Arabidopsis thaliana: one gene and its partner. The protein of the gene in region 1 purifies or fractionates together with the protein of each later gene. This does not show direct contact. Each region holds a gene or a part of one and is shown in the gene's direction. Other genes may lie near its edges.

Evidence for each region.
Region 2: the proteins of EMB2799 (region 1) and AT1G15140 fractionate together in Arabidopsis thaliana (co-fractionation; one large-scale study listed by BioGRID). This does not show direct contact.

The regions. Positions count from the first base shown.
Region 1 is NC_003071.7:16,309,044-16,314,421, reverse strand, and holds EMB2799 (NAD(P)-binding Rossmann-fold superfamily protein), read left to right. Parts: upstream 1-1,799; 5' UTR 1,800-1,946; coding exon 1,947-2,160; intron 2,161-2,388; coding exon 2,389-2,501; intron 2,502-2,783; coding exon 2,784-2,956; intron 2,957-3,196; coding exon 3,197-3,290; intron 3,291-3,583; coding exon 3,584-3,694; intron 3,695-3,801; coding exon 3,802-3,891; intron 3,892-4,016; coding exon 4,017-4,102; intron 4,103-4,185; coding exon 4,186-4,250; intron 4,251-4,331; coding exon 4,332-4,441; 3' UTR 4,442-4,624; downstream 4,625-5,378. Other genes in the region: APC7 (tetratricopeptide repeat (TPR)-containing protein), read left to right, coding at 17-217, 294-338, 421-514, 643-788, 1,090-1,319, 1,414-1,474, 1,565-1,651.
Region 2 is NC_003070.9:5,209,681-5,214,561, reverse strand, and holds AT1G15140 (FAD/NAD(P)-binding oxidoreductase), read left to right. Parts: upstream 1-2,212; 5' UTR 2,213-2,424; coding exon 2,425-2,972; intron 2,973-3,490; coding exon 3,491-3,590; intron 3,591-3,752; coding exon 3,753-3,848; coding exon of another isoform or gene 3,849-3,920; exon of another isoform or gene 3,921-3,932; coding exon 3,933-4,013; exon of another isoform or gene 4,014-4,096; coding exon 4,097-4,159; 3' UTR 4,160-4,381; downstream 4,382-4,881. Other genes in the region: AT1G15150 (MATE efflux family protein), read right to left, coding at 1-205, 335-573, 665-721, 801-887, 971-1,515, 1,631-1,888; AT1G15130 (Endosomal targeting BRO1-like domain-containing protein), read left to right, coding at 4,714-4,881.

The DNA.
Region 1 (5,378 bases):
CTAAAAGCTTTTATAGGTTCGGTCAATTGATCCTTACACACTAACCAGTATGGATGAGTATGCGATGCTGCTTCAGATTAAGTGTGATTATTCCAGGCTAAACAAGCTCGTCCACGATTTATTAAGCGTTGATCATACCAGAGCAGAAGTATTTGTTGCTTTGTCTGTACTATGGGAAAGGAAAGATGCAAGGACGGCATTATCTTATGCTGAGAAGGTTAGCTTTTTTCTGACACTGAATTTTTGTGCCAAAATCTTTGTGTGATAGCTCATGACATACACTATGCAATCAGAGTATCAGGGTAGACGAGAGGCACATACCCGGCTACATAATGAAGGTAAGCTAGTTCAACGAGGAGTTTATTTATTTTTAGTAAGTTTGCATATATATATATATCCACTAATTTGTTAAGACGTCAGGGAAATCTACTTTTACAAGCAAAACGACCAGAAGCTGCAGCGATCGCCTTCAGGGCTGCCCAGAATTTGAGGTCCGATCTTCGTTCATATCAAGGTCTGGTTCACGAGGGAAAAAGATCTGATATACACTTCCACTGTTGTACTGTTTTGGTGGTATAAACCTTTAACAATCATGAAAAGGTTGGAGTGTGTAATTAACTTGCGCTATTGAGGTCATTTCAGGCTTAGTCCATTCTTATCTTGCATTTGGTAAAACCAAAGAAGCATTGTATACCGCCAGGGAAGCAATGAATGCAATGCCTCAATCCGCGAAGGCTCTGAAATTAGTTGGTGATGTTCATGCGTTTACATCAAGTGGCAGGGAAAAGGTACAAACATTCAGCTTTGTTATGCTTCTATGGTGTCAATTTTCATCATATCAATATTCTATCCAGATTTTTTACATCTTAATCAGAAGCGGTGAAAGCTTTAGGGAGTTAGTTGCATATAATACTAAATATTGAAACTGGGAAAGTTCCTTAAACTTAACTGTTCAAATCTCAATTTTGATAAGCATAGTGTATACCAAATCTGAGAAACTATTCAGAGCTTGTGAGTATCTTCTTGTGATCTTTACATTATGTATAAAAATTTATGGTGTAACAGTAGAATGATATGGTTTTATAACAGGCAAAAAAGTTTTACGAGTCAGGTCTGAGGCTGGAACCTGGGTACCTTGGAGCTGTGTTAGCCCTAGCTGAGCTTCATCTAATGGAAGGGAGGAATGGAGATGCTGTATCACTACTTGAACGATATCTCAAAGATTATGCAGATGATTCTCTCCACGTCAAGCTAGCTCAAGTGTTTGCTGCAACGAATATGCTACAAGATTCTTTATCACACTTTCAAGCTGCATTAAGGTTTATGAAATTCTAAGCCAGTAGTGCTTATAGTTCTTGTTGCTCCTATGCGAAACAATAACGATATAACAGAGTGTAAATAATGTAAACGCAGAATAAATCCACAGAATGAGGCAGCCAAAAAGGGACTAGATCGCTTGGAGAAACAAATGAAGGTTGGGAAGAATCAAATCGAACCATTTTATTATGAAGCTCGAACAAGGATGATGTTTAGTGTATTCACAAAATTGGGGTGTTTGTTGCAGGGAATAGACCCAGATGCAACAGATGAGAATGACGAGAACGATGTTGAAGATGTTGATGGAGACACCGAAGAAGCTGAGCTCATGTGAAGAGTAGAGAGACAGAAGAGTGTGTAAACTGTAAAACTATCGAATCCTTAACATTAATATTAATAGCAAATGTCATTCCTTTTGTTTCCTATAAACAAACTTAGAATATGAAAAGAAACGAAAAAAAAGACCAATATTCTACAACATTGGACGTCGTGACGTGTAAATACGCCATTGGTTAAAACACACCAAGAGAACCCATTACCAAAGTCTCACGGAGAATCCCATCTCTTTCCCCACGCCAACTCAATCTTTTTCGTCGTCAAAAGCCAAAGCTTTTTGCTTTTTTGTCTTAATGGGTTTCATCTCTTGCATCTCATTTCCGACGATCAATTCAAGAATTCTATCGACTCACCACTTTTCCAAGCACTCGACTTCAGCGTCTTCTTCATATTCACTTAAGTTTGCTTTGAGACGTCAGGAGGATAAACCCAAAGTCTCGTTTTTTCTTCCATTAACGTCTTCGTTAATGGCGACCCCTATTCAAGCCTCTTCTTCCTCCACCATTGGTATCTTCACTCTCTACTTCTTCAATTCGACTGCTTTAAGGATTAGTGAACTTTGACTTTTAAGATAATCCTATGTTAATCTTTTATGCTTAGTGAGGTAATTAGAGCTTTCGAATGATTTACAATTTCTGATTACATTGATGAGGAAGCTAAGAATATGGTAAATGAAGGTTTAGTGATCTGCCTCTCCAAAGTAGTGACCTTTTTAATATGTTGTTTTGTATGAAGGTGAGACCAGTGATGGCTTGAAGGTCCAGTCTCATGTTTCAATTGGAGCAAACGATCTGCTGATTGTTGGACCGGGTGTTCTTGGACGCTTAGTTGCAGAACAGTGGAGACAGGTATAATTTCTGTGTTGTATATCCCCTACAGGGGACTTAGCTCAATTTGATACTTACTCATATTCTTCTTATAGAACATCCGATAGATATGGTGTTTCTGTACTACGAAAACAAAAACGTTTATGATGTCCTGCAAATCCCTGTTTTAATGTGTCTTGAGTGTTTATCAATATGGTGTGTGTGTGGATAGTGACTAGTACTTTTTCTTCACAACGTATATATAGTAAGAGTCATGTTTTTCACAATATGGAAGTTAGAGTTAGAGCTTTATATGTGGAGCAGGAACATCCAGAGTCTCAAATCTTTGGGCAGACAGTAACAACAAATCATCATGGTGAGTTGGAGAATTTGGGTATCAAACCATCTCTTAAAGGAACCGAATATGGGGGAAAGTTCTCCTATGTGATCTTTTGTGCTCCACCATCACAAAGCGCTGATTATGCTGGTGAAGTCAGGTGATTAATTACAAAAAATCTTATGTTTTAATAACTAGAAAGTCAATTTATGCATTATGATCTGTTAGTGAATGCCAGAAATGTCGACTATTGTGCGCTTGACTTTATTAGCTGGAGAAGAAAAATGAAGCTAAACGTCAATTTGTGCTTTTTAGTTCATCCTATGTGACAACAGTAAAAACATTTGCCTTCATTCAACTGTCTAATATGTGTGTATGCTTGTGTTTACAATCGGATCAGGAATGCAGCATCAAACTGGAATGGCGAAGGATCATTCTTATTCACATCTAGTTCTGCACCTTATGATTGCTTTGATAACGGAGAATGCAACGAGGTTTGTCTCAGCACCTGAATACCTATTTTCTTTCAGTTTTCTCCATCCTAAAATTCCTAGTTTTAGACTTTAACACCACATTTAGTATTATTCTATATCAAAGTTGTTTAACACAATTACTTGTTGAGGTAATTTGGGGAAAAGAGTCTCTCACATTTAAAATCTATGAAAATCAAGTATACAATCAATAAAAAAATTTGATATTTGAGACCACAATGCAAATTCTTGTTCATTGTGAATATATATATGTGCTATTCAATAAGAATTTCTAAGTTCGTTACCCTTCACTGCAGGATTCTCCAGTAGTGCCACTGGGAAAGAGTCCAAGAACTGATGTGCTTTTGAAAGCTGAAAAAGTAGTGTTGGAATGTGGAGGGACTGTCCTTAGACTAGCAGGGCTTTACATATCCTTTTGGATTTCGATACTGAAACTGAATGAGCAAGTATTGAAAGACTTTTTTCTTGGTCTGTAGAAGATTTGAGCATTATGTTTCTCCTGAACTTTTTATACACAGAAACTAGAGGTGCACATACTTACTGGTTGAGTAAGGAGACAATTGATGCTCGTCCTGATCATATTCTAAATCTCATACACTATGAGGTATATTTGTGATTTTGTTCACTCTCATAACTAATTAGTTGATCTGCAGATTGAACTCATTTTCTAGAATGGCAGTGTACTATACATTAGTCTCTTATCAGGTTCTCTAATGTGTTTTTGAACAGGATGCAGCATCGCTGGCAGTTGCAATCATGAAGAAGAAAGCCGGTGCTCGGATTTTCTTGGGTTGTGACAACCATCCTTTGTCAAGGTAATGCTGCTTTCGTTCTAACTTTGAGATTACTTTCTAACTTTTGATGAGACATCAAATGTTTGACCCCTCACTCTTCTCAGGCAAGAGGTGATGGACCTGATGGCTCAAAGCGGAAAATTTGATAAGAAGTTCAAAGGTTTTACAAGTGAGTTTCTTCAGACATTGACATGTAGTTGTCTTGAAAAACCTTAAGCTTCATGGAGTCTGACAACTTTGGCTTTTGTAGGCACCAGTGGTCCTTTAGGGAAGAAGCTGAACAACTCTAAGACACGAGCGGAGATAGGATGGGAGCCGAAGTATCCAAGCTTTGCCCAATTTTTTGGAGTATCGACATAATATTTTTACTTGGATTGATTAAGAATGTCTCTAGCGCTGAAGAATCCAATAATGTGAAGCATTATTTATGTTTGGTACAAACAAACTCATGTATCCTCTTGAGTGATCAAACAGCTGAAATTTTCAGAATTCTTCATAAAGCTCCATGGTTCATATATATAAATCATATTTTGTTAATTTACTTAATACAGTTAGCAAATGGGTTGAGAAGTAAATAATCAACGCAAACTTAATCAGTTTGAATAAAATATATAAACGTGGTTAGATCATAATAATAAAGCATCTTATAAATCATCTAATTAGATGGATTTTAAAGGTTTCTGTCAAGATGTAAAAGCTTGTGTCTTGTTCATTACCAAATTAAGATTCTAACAAAGAAATAGGCCAAACATACGAGGCCTCAGGTATGAGCCTAACAAACACATCCATGCCTCCATCTCACCCACATAATTTGATATGAAGGTTTCATTATACCTTTATTAATAAAAATACTTAATTCATTAACATGTTCACAAATCATCTCATTGGTGATATGTGCAAGCAAATAATCTTATCAGTTATCACATTTGGTTTCTTAACACCAGTTATGGAAGGTTGTTATAAGTTACACAATGTCTTATAATTAGGGTGATGGCCCATCACTGATGGGTGATGTTTTATCTATATATAAAAAAATCTTATATTAATTTGGCTATATACAAACATTGAACCAGATTCAGAGGGTTGCTAGGCGTATGATATGTCTGAAGTGATTAATTCGACTTTAAGAAATTTGTAGCCTAATGCAAAAATACTTTGTCGGATTTAGAAGGCCTAACAATTAGGAACAACACCTAATGCAAGACGTTCCAACCACCTGATTATTTATTTAAGTTAAATGTCACTAAATTTCTAAACTGCTCCGCAAGTTTTAGGGTTCACACAGAGTTGACACTTT
Region 2 (4,881 bases), on another chromosome or scaffold:
TGGGTTTTCCAGTTTGTGCAGCCTGTGACAAGAGCCAGCAGAAGAGTCTGCAGAACTGCACCGGCTAGTATTCCAATCCAAAGGCCAACACCTTTCAGATGAACCCAGAAGGCTAAAGATGCTGCAATGGGTATCCCCCAGAGATAGAAAGCTCCGAAGTTTATGTAAGCCCCTATATGCTGCCACCCGCATCCGCTTGCAACACCTTCCAACCATCAAACGAGGGTTAGAAGAATGGCAGAAAAGAGTACAACATGAACAGGCATGACAACTTGGAGCTGTATATTCGACACTAGCTTATGTTTGAGAAACGAAATGGGAAAAAATCTCGAACCTGAGAGAACCCCTTGTAAACTGTCCAGTATGATAGAAATAGAGACCAACGGAGCCATCTTTGCAACATATTCGATGGTTTTCTTGTCACTGCTGAAAACATGGCCGAAAACATGCCTGCCGGCTAATAGAGACATACTCACCATCAATGCATCCATTACTGCAAGAGACATTGCCGCATAGACCACAATATGTGCTGCTCGAGAGTTTCCAGCTCCTAACTCATTTGAGATTCTTGTGCTGCACAATGTACTTGCTTATGAACATGAAACCATAACAGAAAGTATACTTCAGCATTTATGTACTGGATAGTGGTGACAAAAGCTCTAACCTTGCTGCAGCCGCGATCGCTAGTGGTATTGAATAAGTTATTGAAAGTGTTTCGAAACTGTCCGTAGTATGAATAACATTATGATTTTGCAAATTCAAGATTGTGACAGGAAATGGAAAGATGCAAGGATGAGTACCAGATAGAGAGCACAGAAGTCTCCAGCTGTGGGTTGGGTAACAGACCAGAAAGTAATATTATGAGTTCATATGACCACCACTCCAGGCTGCAACCCATATATAAAAGAGTTTCTAACAAAAAATGTGGAGGCAATGAGAAGTGAAAAAGGAACAGAGAAAAGTGATGTACCAAAGCATAGCCGCAGAAGGAAGAGCATATTTGATAAACTCTCTAACGCCCTCGAATATCTCCATGGTAAGCGGCGCGCGTGTCTCAGAACAGGCAGAGGAGTAGTACATGAAAGATCCAAGGAAAATGGCATAGAGCCAGTATGACAAGCTGAGAGCCAAGGCTCCTCCAATATGACCAAGCCCTGACTTATAAACCAAAAGCCAGCAGAGAGGAACGTGGATACAAAACACAACAGAAGAGGTGACGAGGAGAGGTGTGATCAAGCTCTGGTTTTTGAAGTAGCGAATGAGCGGCTGAAGAACGGCGTAAGCGAACAGTCCTGGGATGAGCCAAGCGGCATATCTACCAGCTTCGTGAGCAATAGCAGGGTCTTGGCCAAGGATCACAATAAGCTTTCCCATGTTGAACCATAGGAGAGAGAGAGGGAGACACACTAAAGTAAGACAGAACATAGCTGTGTAAGCCTGAACACCTAGTTTCCGATATAGCTTAGCTCCATAAGCTTGACCACTCAAAGTATCTAAGGCACATGACAATCCTATCTATCATCAAAAAGTAACAAGAAAGTGAGGAGAGGATGCAATTTCCATGGTTCTGGTAGCTAGTAACAGAGATAAGTGCGTCAATTTAGAGGAAAGAAGGAAAAGGAAAACAAACAATGAAGCTGAAGCCAGTGACGTTACAGAAGGAGACTGCGAAGGAAGCGCTAGCGAGGGAGAGTCTACCGAGGTGACCCACCATCACCATTGAGATTATCTGTATCATGAACTGAATGATAACCACGGCAGCCATAGGAGCCGCAAAGCAGATAAGCCTCTTGAGTTCTGCGGTGAAAGATCCGTCTTGCAGATCTCTCCATGTCACTTTCTCAATTCTGTCTACCGGATCATTGGTGGTTCTCTCCGCGTCTTGCATGGCTTGTGAGAGAGAGTTTGAAAGTTGAAACGGAAAGTGGTGAGTGATAATCGTGAAGTACTACTGTCTGCTTTTTGGTGCTTGGTTATGTGTAATTCCTTACCAAGGGAATCTATAGTGTAGTGCCACTTGGCAAAATTCCAAAACCATGAATGAAATATATACGTTAAATTTGGCTCAACGGTAGGGAGTGTTCATTGATAATGTACTCTTACGTTTTTTAATATGCATATTGCTTGTCACTTTTCTTCCACAATTCTGTCTTTTAATTACATGATTTGGTGTTTTTTCTTTGAAAGACGAGCTAGCAAAATTAAATGAAGAGGGAATGCAATTTTCGAAGTATCACAACAAGTGGTCGGAAAGTAGATAGAATGATATTTTGATCATCCACGTGGCAAAACATTGTAACGGAAGGAAATTAGGTGCATAGCAAAAAAAAATAACACAATCGTGCCACCGAACCAATCGGGCCGCCCTTTTCTACCGCCGGCTAAATTTGACGGTCACATATAGAGCCCCAAAAACTCTCCACCATGTCCACTCTTCCTTTCGCGCCTTCTGTCACCCATGCGCACTTTAGCCACTCCCTCTCCCCCATGTTTATCCTGCGCCATCTCCCTCTTACACGCCATCTCCGTTTATCCCGAAATAACCGCGTCGCTTCCGTTGTATCCGCCGCCGCCGTTCGCCAGGACGCTTCCCTCTGGACTCCAGCTCCTCTCTCTCTAATCGAATCAGCTGCAGAATCGCTTTTCCACATCTCAATCGACATTTCAAACGCTCCGGATCTCGTAGCTTCGTACACGAGACCCGGTCAGTATCTCCAGATCCGTGTTCCTGATGTTGAGAAGCCTTCTTTTATGGCAATCGCTTCTCCTCCTTCCTTGGCGTCTTCTCGTGGTGCTTTCGAATTCTTGGTCAAGAGCATCGCTGGTTCTACCGCGGAGATTCTCTGCGGGTTGAAGAAAGGAGAGACCGTTGAGCTTAGCTCTGTGATGGGTAATGGTTTCAATATCGATCTGATTGATCCTCCTGAGGAATATCCCACCGTTTTGATTTTCGCCACTGGATCTGGAATTAGGTGAGAGCTTTTTCCATTTTCTCTCCTACCTTGTTGGATTGCTGAAGTTGTCTTTTTTACTTCATGTATTCAATGATCCAAGTGTGGTCTAGTTTAAAGGTTTCAGTGCAGAGCATTAGCTAGATACAAAGCTTTCAAACTCAAGTATCTTGAATCTAGTTTAGTTACTCATTTTGCGGTGAATCCTCTGTGATGCCGGGTTCAATTGCTTTTTTGTGGACCTTTTTTGTGAACTCCAGTATGATTTCAATCTATCCAAAGGTGCCATGGACCAATTTTGTGGCTATTTTTTTACTGTGATGATGTTGTAATACTGAAATAGAGTTTCATGTATGAAAGGTCAATGTTTTTATGACTTTGGTGATCGATCAGATCTGTTGTTTATGCCAAGTAAAGGTGTTTCTTTCAATCATCTATTGTTCTAGGCCTGGTCAATCAAAAATGTTTAGTGATGGTGATGTGAATTAAGTAACTGTCTTCAATTTGGAATGTAATCTCACATGTTCTTATCTCTGCAGCCCCATCCGCTCACTAATCGAATCAGGATTTGGCGCTGATAGAAGATCTGACGTAAGACTCTATTACGGGGCTAGGAACCTGAATAGGATGGCTTACCAGGTTTGGTTCTTTCTCTCAGTTGTTTTGCAATTCATGATGTCAGTAGATATAAATGTGTGTGCTTGAATTATAAAAATCTTTTGATGATAAGCGTAAAGCCTATCTCTCGCTCTCATTTTGATCTACAGAAGAATCATCTTGGAAACGCTCTTGATTTTGTAGGAAAAGTTTAAAGAGTGGGAATCAGCGGGTGTCAAAGTTGTGCCGGTATTATCACAGCCAGATGATGGGTGGAAAGGGGAAACTGGATATGTGCAGGTGAGATTGAGAAACGTGCTCCTTAGTCAAGTCTGCTGTAACTCAATGTGGATCAAACTAATATATACATAATGTGTTGTATAGGCTGCTTTTGCAAGGGCTAAACAGCTATCAGCTCCCAAGGCCACGGGAGCGGTGCTGTGCGGACAGAAACAAATGGCTGAGGTATGCACTGTTTTTGTTTATGAGAACCTAAATGCTTTAGAAGATGTGTATCTTTATCATTGTTTCGATTTGTATTGTTGCAGGAGATAACTTCAATGCTTGTAGCTGATGGAGTCTCAAATGACAAGCTGCTCAAAAACTTTTGACAGATATAGTTCTTGTATTATCGTATAATTTTACTGTTTCTTCACATCATTATTCTTTTGATACGAAAGTCCTCTTCAAGGCCTCTCTAATTCATAAACACACAGAATTTTGTAGTCCCTTAAAAATTAATACTACTGTGTTGATTGTCACCACAACATTCTTTTTTGATTAGTGATCATGTTAATGTCCATGCTCTATATACTTTGCATATTTCTTCTACTTTCAATAGAAAATTTCTACATATACCAAGAAGATTTATACCAAAAAATATTGTGAATTAGACATGTTTCTAATTAGGAAAAGTTCCACAAAATAAATCACCATCGTTGCCACATTTAATTAACGCGGAAAAAAGCTTAAAAGCCATTGATCGACTGTATTAACCACTAAATTAGACTGCACGCCGTTTTCATAGAAGATCACAGGACTTGGTGTCGTTCTCACGATCCTTCACGATCATCTTCTCTTAGTCAATAAGGATCCATCAAGGAAACCAAAAATCGAAGAAAATTAGAAAAATCGGAAGAGCGATCGAAGAGGATTTTGAACCGCCATGGCTTCTTCTTCGCTCTCTAATCTGATGCTCGCCATTCATGAGAAGAAGACGAGCTCCGTTGATCTCTACCGTCCTCTCCGCAACTACGTTACTTTCACCTACTCTGAGCGCGAGGCTCAGCTTATAGACGACGATCTCGAGACCTTGAAGCAGCTCCGATCCGAT